Danio rerio: one gene and its partners. The protein of the gene in region 4 purifies or fractionates together with the protein of the main gene of each other region. This does not show direct contact. Links are inferred from orthologs where the notes say so. Each region holds a gene or a part of one and is shown on either strand. Other genes may lie near its edges. The genes, in order: fam189a2, cpsf6, cflara and itcha.

Region 1 (3,569 bases), on a different chromosome or scaffold from region 4:
TTTATTTATAAACAAAAGTTAAGGTGAAATAAAAAGCTAAATATTAAATCATGTGTCATTAAATCCAATAAACCAGACATATAAAGTTGTAACAAATAAATAAATAATTAAATTAAATAACTTCTAGACTAAAATTGGCAATTTAAGTGACAGCACAATTGTAACAGTAGGCTGTATAGTAATAAAATGAGGTTCAAATGTTTTACCTGCGAGCCAGGCGAGGAGTATAAGAGTAAAAGGTAGAGAAGTATGAAGGAGGGGGTGCAGGAGCAACAAATTCGTCAGGGTCTGGAAGATGAGTCTGCTCCTCCACTTCCTCTGGAACAGGCCTGGCCTCTTCCTGCCAAATCATTATCATCATCATCACATCAATATTAGAACTCACACAGACAACAGACGGTCATCAAACACTTCTGAACAGCTCACACTATCCCTAAACAGTGTTGTCAATCTATTTCACACACCAAGCAAGAATTAAAACCTTTTAAAAATATGGTTTGCCTCACCATGCATGGCCGTCTGGTTGAGAAGATCTGCATATACCTGAGTGCAGCAGCAACCAGACACACAGCTGTTGCCAAAGCATTCAATGCACACAATGCAAAGAGCACTTTCTGAAAGAGAGAAAACCTATTAGAGGTGATTAGGCTTAATTGAAATAGAATCAAAAATGTAAAAAAAATTAATACACAATCGTGTTTTAACTACAATGCATAGTTTTTTCAGGTTTTGTTACCTCCAAAGAGGGGGCATGGTTTAGTGGCCAGTGAATGGTTAAAGACACAAAAACATCAAGAATTATCACTAAAATCCAGGTGTAAGTCTTTAAAATATTTTAATACCTGATTCAATGATTTATGAGCAGGGTAACACTGAGTGGATTGACGAGAGTTTATCTAGAGATGATGGATATATATGGCAGTAGTGCTTTTCAGAGTCCAGATATAACAGGACTAGAGTACTAAGGCTTTAAATAGTTGCCTGGGGATGAAGACATGTACCACCATTATAGTGTGCAGCCAATATTAAATAGGGACAGTTTCTATAGGCACAAGTTTTCAGCTGCAAGCAATTTGACTGTTTGCAAAAAAAATGCAACACAACACAACAGAAACAAATACTACAGCCTTGTTTTACTATAGTCATTTTAATAACAGCTACTACAATCTCAACAAAAATGATAAGGGTTATAATCTCATGAATACATATTAAAGCAATTTAACATTATTAAAAGTACAGTACATAGGCTGAGTACTGATATTGCTTGTTTGCACTGAGTTACTGACTTTCATTTTCCAACTGTTTCTTTTTTTCTGAGGACCGAGATAAACAACGTTTTGCTGCTTTCAATTCAAATCAATTGCTGAATTAATTTTCAACATGCAACAAATGTCTCAAAAACATGGTGTTCAGACTCACATTAGTAACTTTTAAGACGGAGTAAACCACATAATATAAATTCTAAAACAAAAAAAATCTGTGCATTGCCTTCGCAGATGGTTATACTGACGTGTCAAGATTCTGCACCAAACACGACAAGGCAGAAACATTTAAATACTAGCCATTCATTTAAATACCAGCCACTGCACTTCCAATAAAATAGTAAAGATTATAATCTAATTAATAAATATTAAACCTCTTTGAAATTACCAATATGCTACTGAGTGACTGATGTTGTTGGTCATGGTTCAAACTTTTTATTTTAGAACCCAAGATCTGAGATAAACTATATGCTACTTATTTCAGTAGTATGGCAATAATAATAATATAATAGGCTATTTCAACTTACAGTACATTAGTAGCATTTAACACAGAATAAAGCCCATAATTTGTAACTGAGGTGATAATTAGCACTCTACAAATTCTCAATTCAATTTACATCAGGAAACTGGCTGGTCCACTGCAAAATGGTAATGTTTTTGTCTGCCAACCATTTGTTCATCACTTTTGCTGTGTGTTTGGGGTCATAACTGTACTGAAATGTCAACTGGTGCCCATGGTCCAATTCATCAGCATAGGAATGACGCTGTTGTTGACAGTTTTGAAGCATTTTTTAAGGTGCCATTTACTATGATAAGGTTCCCTGGTCCACTGGCTGAAAAACACCCCCCAAAACATTATAACACTATCATGTTATACCAGGCACTTCATGCTTCCTGTTGCTAACAAACTTTATGGCGCTTTTAATTTTCCAACAGGACTTGGCACCTGCACACAGTGCCAAAACTACCATAATCTGGTTTAAGCACCATGATATCCCTGTTCTTAATTACCCCTGTCTATACTCACCTGACCTTAACTCTATAGAAAATCTACAGTATGTGCTATTGTGAAGAGAAAAATGTGATATGCCAAATCCAACAATTCATAAGAGCTGAAGGCCACTATCATAGAAACATGGCTCTCAAAACACCTGAGCAGTGCCACAGACTGAATGACTTCATGCCACGCTGCATTACTGCAGTATTTCAGGCAAAAGGAGCCCCAACTAAGTATTGAGTGCTGTGCATGCTCATACTTTTTATGGTTATACTAAAAATACTTTATTGCATTGAGCTTATGTAATCAAATTTTCAGAAATATTGAATTTTATGGTGTTATTAGTTCTCATCTGTGTTTCTTTGCTTATACAACTATATATGTTTTATATTCATTTATTTATTGTCAAAATTAATTTGCACATACTTTGAGCAGGATTCTCATTGTGCCACATGCATGACCTGCGTAGATCTTTATCAGCTTCTCCTCTTGGCACTGAGCACTTGGAGTCTCTGAACAACAGTAACAGAGATCGCCCTGCTCACTCTGAAACACACAAACACATGTATTACATTAATATCTCTGTGTTATCTCATGACAATATCTATTAATACTTTAGTATTAAATGGGCGGAGCACTGGCGCAGTAGGTAGTGCTGTCGCCTCACAGCAAGAAGGTCGCTGGGTCGCTGGTTCGAACCTTGGCTCAGTTGGCTTCTGGTTTCTGTGTGGAGTTTGCATGTTCTCCCTGCCTTCGCGTGGGTTTCCTCCGGGTGCTCCGGTTTCCCCCACAGTCCAAAGACATGCGGTAAAGGTGAATTGGGTAGGCTAAATTGTGTGTGTGTTTGGATGTTTCCAAGAGATGGGTTGCAGCTGGTGTGTGTGTGTGTGTGTGTGTGTGTGTGTGTGTGTGTGTGTGTGTGTGTGTGTGTGTGTGTATGTATGTGTGTGTGTGGATGTTTCCCAGAGATGGGTTGCAGCTGGAAGGGCATCCGCTGCGTTAAAACGTGCTGGATAAGTTGGCGGTTCATTCTGCTGTGGCGACCCCAGATTAATAAAGGGACAAAGCCGACAACAGAAAGTATGAATTATTATAAAATTAAAGTTTTCAGGTACAATATGCAATAACAACACAAAGATACGAAGTCACTGATGTAACAAACAGAGGGAGATCAGACACAATTAATAGTTACATTTAAAAAATAATTCCAAAGTATCACTTTTTTAGAACTCCAACAGACTGGCCACACCAGTAGCAGTTGAATCTCTTACTGAACTGAATCTTGAAATACCTAACTTATGTGTGCTTCT
Region 2 (3,569 bases), on a different chromosome or scaffold from region 4:
TAAATTTTATCACTGTTTTGGAGCACACTAGACTATAGATATCCTTAAAACTAACATCTAATGTTAATTTTGATTTCACGGGGACTTTAAACTTACTGAATGAGAATAGCGTTGCTGTATGTGTGCTGCAGTTTAGAAGAGTGTGTTTTGGTCCACGCAGGCACACAGTCAGGACAGATGTCAGGAGAGGGGAAGGCTGGTCCTCCAGGCTCAGGATCTCGAGGTGGAGGATTCCCTCCTGGCAAAGGTCAGAGACGCTTTCCTGGCCCACCTGGACAAGGAGACCGCTTCCCTGGACCGGTTGGACCTGGCGGTCCTCCACCACACTTCCCAGGTATAAGCTTGAACAGGAGTGAACTTTTGAATTGTCAGTATATACATCAGAACTAACAGCTATTATTATAGGTCTGCAATGGGAGGAAACAAATAGGACTGTAATTTGTTCTATCAGTTGTTGGATCTATAACAACTGATAGAGAAGATTTAATAATGCAAGTTTCTACAACATTATACAGACTTAAAGTAGAGGGTAAAAATGTACATTTTTGTTGTGGACCGGCACATATTGGAATAATGGGAAATAAAATTGGCAGATAAATTGGCAAAAAGAATCATTGAAGAAAAATCAAGTAGATGTTAAAGTACCTTTGGGAAGGAATGAAATGAGATCAGTAATTAATAAGGAAATAACAAATATTTGGCAACAATATTTGGTCTGAAAACTGATGCTCTGAGGTGAATGGGTCACTTTTCAAGTGAATCAGAAAAAGTTGATCAATTGTCCTAAATCAAGAATGGGTGATGTTTAATGTTCACCACAAAACTAGCAGTGTGAGCTCCCAAAATCATACGGTTAGTTTTGATTTCATGTGTATTTTTGTAATCCCTTCTCCTCTCTGCTTCAAAATGTAATGCATCAAATCTTCTTGCAGGTATGCAGGGCCCACCACGTCTTCCCTCTGGCCCACCTGGGCCCCTGGGACCTCCAGGCCCCCCTCCACCTGGACAAGGTCTGCCTCCTCCCCTCGGCGGACCCCCTAACAGAGGAGACCGTCCTCCTCCACCTGTCTTGTTTCCTGGTCAGTTCGGGCAACCCCCAATGGGCCCGATGCCTCCTGGGCCTCCCCCACCAGGATACGGGCCTCCCCCAGGCCCCCCTCCACCTCAGCAGGGACCACCCCCTCCAGGACCCTTCCCTCCCCGTCCACCTGGGCCCTTAGGACCCCCGCTTGGCCTCGCACCCCCACCACACATGCAGGGACCCCCACCTGGAGGCCCACCGCCGGCTCCTCACGTCAACCCGGCCTTCTTCCCACCACCTGGAAACAACATGCCATCATCTGACGGCAGAGGACCCCCACCTGGAGACCCGTACGGCCGCCCACCTCCTTATGACAGAGACTTCCCTGGTGGCAGGTAATAAACACATCGCCCACAACTACACCTATACTCTAAAAAGCCCGAAGTGTATGTGCACAGTTAAATGAACAGTCTTACTATAGTATGCTGTGATGGCATGCTCACTACAACAGATAACACTGCAAATATGCATTCAATTGTTTTTCATTGGAAGCACATTTAGATGTAATTTAATCATTTCACATTACATTTTAATATTGACAGCCATAACTTGATAACATTTTATAAATATTAAAAAATAAGTGAAGTTTCACAAACTAATTTCTAGAAGAGCACGTGATATGATCAACTAGAGCTGATCCTCATCACTGATCATTAGCTAGCCTATCAGATCATTCCAAAACTACTATGAATATCCTGCCTAAACTCCGTTCCCTGTCTTCGTTTTTGGCAAACCCCCTTCTATCCTTCCCTTCTCCTTCCTCGTTAATTATATGATAGGGCAACAGGGTGGCTCAATGGCTGGCGCTGCTGCCTCGCAGTGGGAGGGCCAAAGGTTCAAGTTCTAATTGAGCCAGTCGTTACTCTCTGCCATGAGTTTGCATGTTCACCCTGTGTTCCCGTATGTTTTCCTCGGGTACTCCGGTTTCCTCCAACAGTCTTAAAACATGTACATAAGCGAACTGTAAAGTCATAAGCACTTAACGCATACATACTGAATCAGTCAGAACCACCATATTAACCATAGTATAAAACAAACGAGAGGGCTCTCGAAGAATACCCGATCTCCTATCCAAACTAATGCTCATTGACCAAACGGGAACCTTGTGCTCTTCGATTTGAGATTCAGGTTCTCTCCTGGGACAGCATGCCAAACCTGCTATCATAGTTAAGCATTGTCTAAGTGTGAACTCCTAAATGTATTTATATATTGTTACGTGTTAATGATGTTAAATAATTAAAAGGATGATACGTAACAATCAGTGAGTCCATTGATGCTGGGTGAATAAGGAGAAGACACAAACGCTTGATAAGTGAAACAAAAAGTAAGTATTTATTAATGGATAATGTCAAACAATGAATATGAGATGGAAGATAAATGTAATTTTAAATAATTGAATTAAATAAAGAAAAATAGGAGTGTTGCCAAAACAAAGAAATAAATATAACAAAACGATCTAACTAAACCCCAACCCACTAAACTGACTGATCAAAGAAAAATGCAGAAACAAAACAGTAATCTTCAGCACGTAGCTTAACTAAACTTCATAACTCCCAAACATAATTACACATGAGGCAACGCCTCCAAAAACGAACTAATACAAAGTTATACTAAGCTGCTCGAAATACTAGAATTCTTGTAAAGTACAGACTGTTAGCCATTAGCAAAACAAGATCTCAGGTAATCCAATTCTCATAAAGATCGTTCATATTCTCACTATACATTAACCTGAGCAGCACAAGTTTAACTGATAAATCCATATCAACAAAGAGAAAACTAGAACACAGCACTCGCAAACAAACCAAGCGGAACAAACAAGTCAACAGTTTGAGAGATTGACAGGCCAAGCGCTCCTCCAGAACAGCGCAAGCGCACCGGTTTTATACTGCGCGGACCCAATCCTTATTAGCGCCGATTGAGTGACGAAGGTGAATGACAGCTCACTCGACCAATGGTAGCACACCTGAAACAGGATAGGACCACTGCGAGAGAGAGAGAGAGAGAGAGAGAGAAGAGCGCAAAGCAGAAAACAACAAAAATACCACAAAACATACGTGAAACGTAACTATTTTTTTAAACCTGTCTATCTTGCATTTGGATGGTATTTCCTTTTATTTTGGTGTCGCTTTAGTTTTTAGTTGCTGAAATGTCTGTGCCTCACTTTGATTTAACATGTGATGCAATGTGATTCAGCACTAACGACCACTGCAGCTCTTTGTGTGAATTCGATCCCTGAAGCATTACGCTTCGCTCTGACTCGTGCTTTTAGTTTGCGCGTGTTCATTAATCAGCATTTTGTGTGCTTCAGGGACATGGATGCGTCTCGCACTCCCCTGAGCGAAGCTGAGTTTGAGGAGATCATGAACCGGAACAGAGCGATTTCCAGCAGCGCTATTTCAAGGGCCGTTTCTGATGCCAGTGCAGGTGTGGAGATCATTACACCCAGCACAAATATGAGGTGTGGTGTGTTGTGAATTAACCGTTTCCG
Region 3 (4,316 bases), on a different chromosome or scaffold from region 4:
TATATAAAAGTAATTTATAATGGTTTATAGTAAGTATGAAGCAAGTACTATAAAATAAGACCAAAATTAAATAGTAAGTTCTTATAGTTATCTGTATCTTTTCATCTATGAAATGTACTAAAACTTTCTTGTTTTCTCTTGAGCATTGCTTGTTTGCCCAGACACTGCTTACCTTAGATGTTGTTCATATTTGTTCAGTGAGTAAATTCACTAAATGTCTTATACTTGGCGTGAAAATTACAATAAAATGAGCAAATCAGCAAAATATTATTTTGCAGCAGCCTATGCATTTATTTCAGCATTAGAGTCCACAAATGAAAAATGTGAAAGGTGGAAAAAATCTGTTTTTATTCTTTTCAACAAGTCTGTTAGCAAATTAGCCGTAGTTGCATAACAAAACTGCATAAGTGAAAAAAAAAATCTCCAATAGAATCAGCTAAATCGTAACGATCACTTTAACATCTGATCTGTGCAGTTTTGGAACTCAAATTATGTAAATAAAAATAGTTGGTTAGACACATGACTTTATTTACATATCCACATACACTAAGAAAGCATAACAGACCATCTAATCATAGGATTGAGTGTAATAAACTAATTCAGGATCTTAATGTTGTTATACTTAGTTAGAATCGTTTTATAGTAAAATATACAAAACAAACATTGTGTCACATTAAAATGAATTACTATAGTTGATAATTTAAAATAACTACTTCATCTTTTACTAAACTGCAGCAACTTTTAGTTATATATATTATATATATAATAAATATATTTAAATATATAATTATTATTATCAGTCAATTTGTTTGTATTACTATTTTGTTGCAACTATAATTATCACAAATGACCAGTACTTTATGGTTTAACAAATCTATATAAAAACATAAAAACAAATATATTACTTACTTTAAATCACTATAGTACTTCATGTGGGAAATCATTAATAAAAAAAGTTAGAAAATTGAGCAAATAAATACTTATCGCTGGAGTAAAATAATAATATAGTGTTAGACATTTATTAAATGTAAAAAGATTTGTATTACATATAAAGATGTATTATAGCCTACACATATAATCTTGCCATATTTCCTTCATTATAGTGAATCCATTATATAAATTAAACCTGCCCAATTTAGATCGTTGATATATCTCTGAAAAATGTTTCAGCAAAGCCAGCAACGAGTATCTGCTATACTGACTTTGTTTGATGAATAATGACTGATCATCCATGAGGGCTGATATCAGTACAGCTTGTCTCGATAGAGGGGGAGCATGAGCTCTCGCTCCTCCTCCTATAAGCTGTTTTAATCCTGGTGTACGCATTAAAACAGCTTTCAGGAGGCAGAGCTAGAGCTCATGCTCCCCCTCTCTGGAGCTCAGCTCTGCTCAAATGGCTCTGCAGCGAGCACCCTCTCGTTTTAATGCGTGCACCAACCCCACCCCTAACCCTACCCCAGTGACATCACTCGTAGAAGTGCATGAAAGGAGGAACGAGAGCTCAAGCTCCCCCTCGCTGGAGCTCAGCTCTGCCTAAATGGCTCTGCAGTGAGCACCACTACTTGTCTCGATCGACCGGAACAGGGCGTGACTTCGCGTAACTCAAAGGCTTTGGTAACTTTGCTTTCGCTTTTGCTTCAGTTTGTCACGATGGCGACGTACGACGTAAAAGGTAAAAATATCATTTAAATACATTCTCTCTGATCAAATAGCTTACTTTTAGTAAGATTTTTTGTTATAGCTTCATACAAGTTAGTCGATAAACACTTAACGTTAACAAGTTCTATAAATGGCCTACGTAACCTACTATAAGTACAATTTTACCGGACAAATTCGGCTGTAAGTTGAAGAGTCCTAACTACTGAACGGAAGACGTTGTGAACAACATGTAAACAAAGGCAGTTCAAGTCAGTCGACGGTGAAACGTAGTAGTTGTTTTAGAATACGCGTATTGTATCGTTTTGTATTGCTGTTGTGACCTTTAATTATCTGCTCCGCCTGTATCTCTGTCCACGTAGGCTTTAGGAACAGGTGTAAGTTAGTATTGTCGGGAGACTTAGTTATTCATACATTCAACTTTTTGAATCAGCTCGAGTCGAATGTTTTCACAATAAAGACATTAAAGAATCGATTAATCTTTTACGACCGAAGTGGTTCTTCGGAATTCAAAAGTTATGCCAAAAACAATGAAAAGGCGTTGTTAGTAGATAAACGCTGTGAAATAGGCTAGTTAGTAGATAAACGCTTGTGTAGTGACGCTATACAAATTCCATGGTTGATTTCGGAAATCCCCTTGCTTAAGCACACTGACAAGGATGTTTGAAAACATCAAATGTAATGTATTTTAAAGAATATCAAAAAATACCACCGTGGTAAAATGCCCCCCACAAAATCTGTTGTGGATGTCTAGGTACTTTCCATCATTATGGTTTCATTTAGATTTACATCCATCTAGTGATGAGTCCCCTTTCTCCTCCTCTTTTTTTAAAAATTTTTTTTAACTTAGTGTCAGCAAAAGATGAAGCTCGCTGCTGGCAAAACCACCAAAGAATTTGGTGCTCCAAATTAAGGTCACTGAAGGTAATTCAGCCTTTTACAGGTATCTTTCATTTGTTGATGTTTTTTTTTATTTATTTTTTTATTTTTTTGCTAAATTGGGTGTTCTGTTTGTCTTTTACAGGTGTAAATCCAAAGTGGCTACATTCTTCCATTCTGTCAAGATAAATGCAATTTTCATTCATTGATTGCAAAAAAAAAAGAAAAAGAAAAGAAAAAGAAAATACAGCCCTTTTTCTAGACTAACTTAATTAGATTTTAAAAATGCATAGAAAATTCAATTCTGCTTTTAAAATGACCCAAACTATTACCTAAAGTATTTATACAACACCATACGGTGAAATGGCAGATGGATTTTCTACTCTGGTTAACAAAGTGACCGCATCTCTTAGCAGCGACGAGTCTAAGATCCTGCTGTATCTTTGCACTGATTTGTTCAACAACAGTTGTGTGGAAGAACTGAGAGGAGATTTGCTGGCCTTTGCCCAACAGAACCCCAATCAAGCAGGTCAACCTCATTCTGGAAATGCTCTGCTGATGGAGCTCATGTTTCAAATGAAGCGCTATGATTTACTACGCAAAGTTTTTGGCACCAACAAACAACAGGTAGAAGGAATTCTCAGAAAGGAGCGCGTCATCTCAGATTACAGGTAATTTATTCTTCAAATGAACACATTTCAGATATTTCCTAACCCATGACCCATGTGGTGGAAAAATACAATTTTAGTAAAGAAGAACTATTTTAGAGCTTGACATTTGTTTGTTTTTTTAGGTCATTAGAGCAGTTTCATTAGAAATACCCATGTAGAAATACCCATGTGTGTTATTTACACTCTCTTTTGCAGTACGATTATTGAATTGATTACTTTTATACAGGGTTCTAATGGCAGATGTGAGTGAAAACTTGGATAAAGAGGATTTACAATCTCTTATCTTCCTCCTAAGCAGTATCCTGCCCAAAGAAAGATCAACTAGAGCTACTGTAAGACCTTACTGAATATTTCTGTCTGTTCAAATTAATATTTATTCTGCAGAATATTTAGGTAAAACTGAACATGAATATGCTATTTTTCTAGAAATGTGTGTGCTATTTCATTTTGGTTTCAATTGATTTCCAATAGAGCTTTCTAGATGTGGTGGTGGAGTTGGAGAAATTAAATGAAGTATCTTGTGAGAAGCTGGACTTTCTTGAAAAGTGTCTTAAAAATATTCGCAGAAATGACCTTGTCAAAAAAATTCAGGCGTACAGGAATAGAGGTCAGTCCCTTTTGAAAGAAAGTAAAAGAGAAAATCTTCTGCAAAAAAAAAACATGCATTTCTATAACGCACCACAAAGCTCTTAATTTGGCAACTAGACTCAGTTATTTTATTTACTAATATATATCAAATAAAGCAATTACGTGATTAAATTTACTAAATAAAAATTATTTAGGTCAGAACATGCCATGTGCCGCTCCAAATACCTTTAAGGTAAGACATTTAAACAAATATATTGATACAGTATATGAAAAGTATATAAAGCATATTTTTAAACTCTTTGTTTTTCTACTTTTTAAAATTTCAGTTCACCCCTATGCAGTGTCAGCCTTTTGAAAAGCAAGTGAGACAATCACAGTGCTTCAATCATGGTGAGTTAATATGTAGGTATGTACAGTATGTGTAAAGCGGGTGTAAAGGGATAGTTCAAACAAAATTCTGTCATTATTTACTCACACTTCACATTTCACAAAACTAATTGAGGTTCCTTTTTCTGTTGAACC
Region 4 (3,569 bases):
AGGAAAAACCATTCCCTGCCACAGAAATACACAGCATTAATGTGCATGTGTGCATATGTCAACTCAGTGCATCCCTTCCCATCAATGATGTTATGTACCTGGCCACGCCTCCATAGTCAAGCCCCTCCTCCCCTGGGAAAATGATCCACAATCTTCGCCTCAGGTCTTGTGGATGGCAACCCATAATCTAAATAAATCAATTTTTAAAAATGTATAATTTATTTCTGCACATCGCATGTAATGAGACCCTTAAACTTTAAATATGTGTAAATAAATCATCATTTACCTGCTGAAATGAGTCCTCAAACAGCGTTTTGCGACTCACATGGATTTTGATGTGTTGAGGCATTGATAATTGCTGTGGTGTTAAAATACATGTTTTAATTAATAAATAAATATTTACATTTGCAAATAATTTTTTTAATTAGTTTTGGAACTATGTCCATAAGCTCTTAAATTAAAAAATGTTTTAATATTTATTTCAGATAAATTAAATGTATATATTTTTTTTTACAAAAAATGGGTTATATCATACATATATTAGTATTATTATTATTATAAAATATGAAGTATATATAATAATATTTTTATATTATTAATATAAAAACAAAAACAATAATATAACATAAAAAATAAATAAATCATAGTAAGCATTTATAGATTTATATCAGTAATTAAATATTCATTATCATTTTTATATGATAAATAACTTTAAAAAAAGCCTAAAAATATATTATTTTATTCTGCCAATTAATAAATTTTTTTTAAAAGAATCACAAAAATGACCTTCTTCAATATATTAAAATAGGTTTTAAACATTGACTTGTGAAATAAAACAAAGGTTTGGACACTTATTATTATATAATAAACTGTATAATTAATAATCATATTTTTGTTAATTACAACAGCATAAAGATAAATAAACAAATAAATAATACTATGCAATAATATACACTACCGGTCAAAGGTTTGAGGTCAGTTTTTATTTTAAAGAACATTATTTTGCTCATCAAGGTGTCCCTTATTAAATGTAAAAAATAATAATTAATTGTTAATTACTTATTTATAAAATATTTATTTATAACTTATTACATGTTGTTTTTAAAGGAAATTATTACTCCAGTCATTATTTTTTATTACTATTACCGATAATAATAATAATAATAATAATATACATTATACATAATAAAATAACAACAATGATAATTAATATTAGAGTGATTTATGAAGGATCGTGTGACTCTGAAGACTGGAGTAATGAAGCTGAAAATTCATCATTAAAATCCCTAGAATAAATTATTAAATGAAATGAAAAACTACTTTTGAAAAGTTATTTTATAGTGCAATAACATTTCACAATTTTACAATTTGTACTGTATTTTTGATTAAATAAATGCAGCTTTGGTGAGCAGGAGAAGCTTATTTTAAAACATTTTAAAACCCTACTGACCCCAACCTTTGACCGGTAGTGTATGTATATTAGTCATTATTAAATGTTAATTATCATTTTTATATGATAAATAACTTGCAAAAACTCACAACTTCTTTTGGAAGCAGACTGCACTGTCCCCCAATAATTTACAATAAAATGACTTAATTCAAGATTTTAAATTAAAGTTTTAAGCATCGACTTCTTAAATGAAACATCAGAGATTTGAAGACATCAGGAGATATTAAAACAGCTTTATAAAAAATCATTTTAAATTAGTATAACTCCTCCATGAGGTCTTACCTGACACCAGAAGCGGAAATAGTGCACTTTGGCTTTAAAATCTCGTACGTATGTGATCTGAGGGCCGTTCTCACTGCAGGTCCACAAAGACACAAACAGACAGATGGTAAAACACCACACACAACCTCACTGCAATGCATCAGCACTGATTAAAAACAAAACAAAACAACATTGAACTTAATTTGTACACTGAAACAGGAGCGTCACTGTGTAAAATCAACATGCTGAAGGTTTTAAAAATAAAAAAGTTTTTCTTATAATAATATAAGAACTCACAGCGAGGATTTTCCTGTACGGGGGTCTATGTATGTTGTAGTTCTTCTGTTGTGATCCACAAAATAGGGAATCCCATCCACTGTAAACCTCATTTCCCAACCTTCCGGCAAAGGCTTCTCATTTAGCAACCTGACAAATTAAAACAATTAATTACAACAAATATAATGCTTATTGCCTGCTTGTAAAAAAATATAAAATAAATAACAAATAAATAACAATAATAATAATATACAGAAAGGAGGAAATTTGGTTAATAATAATAATAATAATAATAATAATAATAATAATAATAATAATTATAAAACAGAAATTAGGTAATTTAGTTGCAAAAAATGTATAATAAAAAATAATAATAATAAAAATTATGATAATAATAATAATAATAATAATAAAAATGATATTAATAATAATAATAATAATAATAATACTAATAATATAAAAAGATAAGGAATAAAAAATATTTTAAAAAACTTGATTAATTCAATATAAAACTTACAAATGCTGCCATGGCAACTAAATGAAATTTAAACATAAAAAATAAAATAATTTAAATTGCAATAAAACATAATACATTGTCTGTATTAAATATAATTAATATCTAAAAAAATGCAGCAAAAATACTAAATATCTCACAATTTCAATCAATTAAATACTGAAAATATAAAAAAAGCTTAATATAATATTAATATGAATGAAAATTAAAATAATAGTACATTGAAATGAACATAAGCTTACAAATTTATAAGCAAGCACAGAATATTAATAAAAAACTTTAATAGCAATAAAACAATAAAAAAACAATACTATTTCAACTATTAACAAAAAAAATGACAAAAGCATGCAACAAAACGGCTAAAAATTGAACTAAAAATAAAAAAACATTGTAAATATTTATAGAATTGCAACAGTATATAAATATTAAATAGTACTGTATAAATATATTGCGTGCAGCTCATAATGATCCCACCCTTGTGTGCGAGGGTCTTCCCATTGTGTGGATCTTGTAGGATGGTGAACAAAATACATCCTCCTATTACTGTCGGTACGTTTCTCTGTGAGCGAAACAAACAAACACACACACACACACACACACACACACACACACACACACACACACACACACACACACACACACACACACACACACACACACACACACACACACACACACACACACACACACACACACACTTAATTGTTTTTGAGTGACTAATCCTGATTAAAATAACACGGCATCCAAATAATCACAAATGATTGAATCACACATTATGTTTCAGTGTATAAAGAATGTGCAAATAGATAACGTCCCAAAATAAACACACACAGAGAAAAAAAAAGCCAGTATGAGCTGCTCTATTTTAAGGTTGAAATGAAATTTCCTCTTTCTGCAGCACAAAACAGACTCACCCCATCCTGACGGCAGCGGTCCCAGAGGGTCAAACTCTTTATTAGCTGTCGGCGCGAGCTGTTCCTGCAGCTGAAGACATGAGCAGAAGGAAAGAACAAGAGCAGATGAAATACCCTCAGCTAAGGTCACAGAGGTGATTCTTTTTATTAAAAA

The links.
Region 1: the proteins of itcha (region 4) and fam189a2 purify together in Homo sapiens (co-immunoprecipitation; 3 studies listed by BioGRID and IntAct, counting the BioPlex papers as one, with this or other methods). This does not show direct contact. The link is inferred for Danio rerio from reciprocal best matches to the Homo sapiens genes ITCH and ENTREP1.
Region 2: the proteins of itcha (region 4) and cpsf6 purify together in Homo sapiens (affinity purification with mass spectrometry; 5 studies listed by BioGRID and IntAct, with this or other methods). This does not show direct contact. The link is inferred for Danio rerio from reciprocal best matches to the Homo sapiens genes ITCH and CPSF6.
Region 3: the proteins of itcha (region 4) and cflara purify together in Homo sapiens (affinity purification with western blotting; 8 studies listed by BioGRID). This does not show direct contact. The link is inferred for Danio rerio from reciprocal best matches to the Homo sapiens genes ITCH and CFLAR.

What each region holds. Positions count from the first base shown.
Region 1 is NC_133180.1:56,884,884-56,888,452, forward strand, and holds part of fam189a2 (endosomal transmembrane epsin interactor 1), read right to left. Parts: intron 2,806-3,569; coding exon 2,686-2,805; intron 615-2,685; coding exon 507-614; intron 341-506; coding exon 207-340; intron 1-206. UniProt on the Homo sapiens protein: Functions as an activator of the E3 ubiquitin protein ligase ITCH in the ubiquitination of the CXCL12-activated CXCR4 receptor. Thereby, triggers CXCR4 endocytosis and desensitization, negatively regulating the CXCL12/CXCR4 signaling pathway.
Region 2 is NC_133179.1:2,380,957-2,384,525, reverse strand, and holds part of cpsf6 (cleavage and polyadenylation specificity factor subunit 6), read left to right. Parts: intron 1-160; coding exon 161-334; intron 335-932; coding exon 933-1,416; intron 1,417-3,389; coding exon 3,390-3,505; intron 3,506-3,569. UniProt on the Homo sapiens protein: Component of the cleavage factor Im (CFIm) complex that functions as an activator of the pre-mRNA 3'-end cleavage and polyadenylation processing required for the maturation of pre-mRNA into functional mRNAs.
Region 3 is NC_133186.1:32,574,751-32,579,066, reverse strand, and holds the start of cflara (CASP8 and FADD-like apoptosis regulator a), read left to right. Parts: upstream 1-1,512; 5' UTR 1,513-1,672; intron 1,673-2,506; 5' UTR 2,507-2,580; exon of another isoform or gene 2,581-2,599; intron 2,600-2,680; 5' UTR 2,681-2,898; coding exon 2,899-3,206; intron 3,207-3,432; coding exon 3,433-3,538; intron 3,539-3,677; coding exon 3,678-3,813; intron 3,814-3,988; coding exon 3,989-4,026; intron 4,027-4,120; coding exon 4,121-4,184; intron 4,185-4,316. UniProt on the Homo sapiens protein: Apoptosis regulator protein which may function as a crucial link between cell survival and cell death pathways in mammalian cells. Acts as an inhibitor of TNFRSF6 mediated apoptosis.
Region 4 is NC_133181.1:60,215,111-60,218,679, forward strand, and holds part of itcha (itchy E3 ubiquitin protein ligase a), read right to left. Parts: intron 3,486-3,569; coding exon 3,416-3,485; intron 3,061-3,415; coding exon 2,976-3,060; intron 2,138-2,975; coding exon 2,009-2,137; intron 1,806-2,008; coding exon 1,733-1,805; intron 359-1,732; coding exon 287-358; intron 188-286; coding exon 99-187; intron 16-98; coding exon 1-15. UniProt on the Homo sapiens protein: Acts as an Acts as an E3 ubiquitin-protein ligase which accepts ubiquitin from an E2 ubiquitin-conjugating enzyme in the form of a thioester and then directly transfers the ubiquitin to targeted substrates.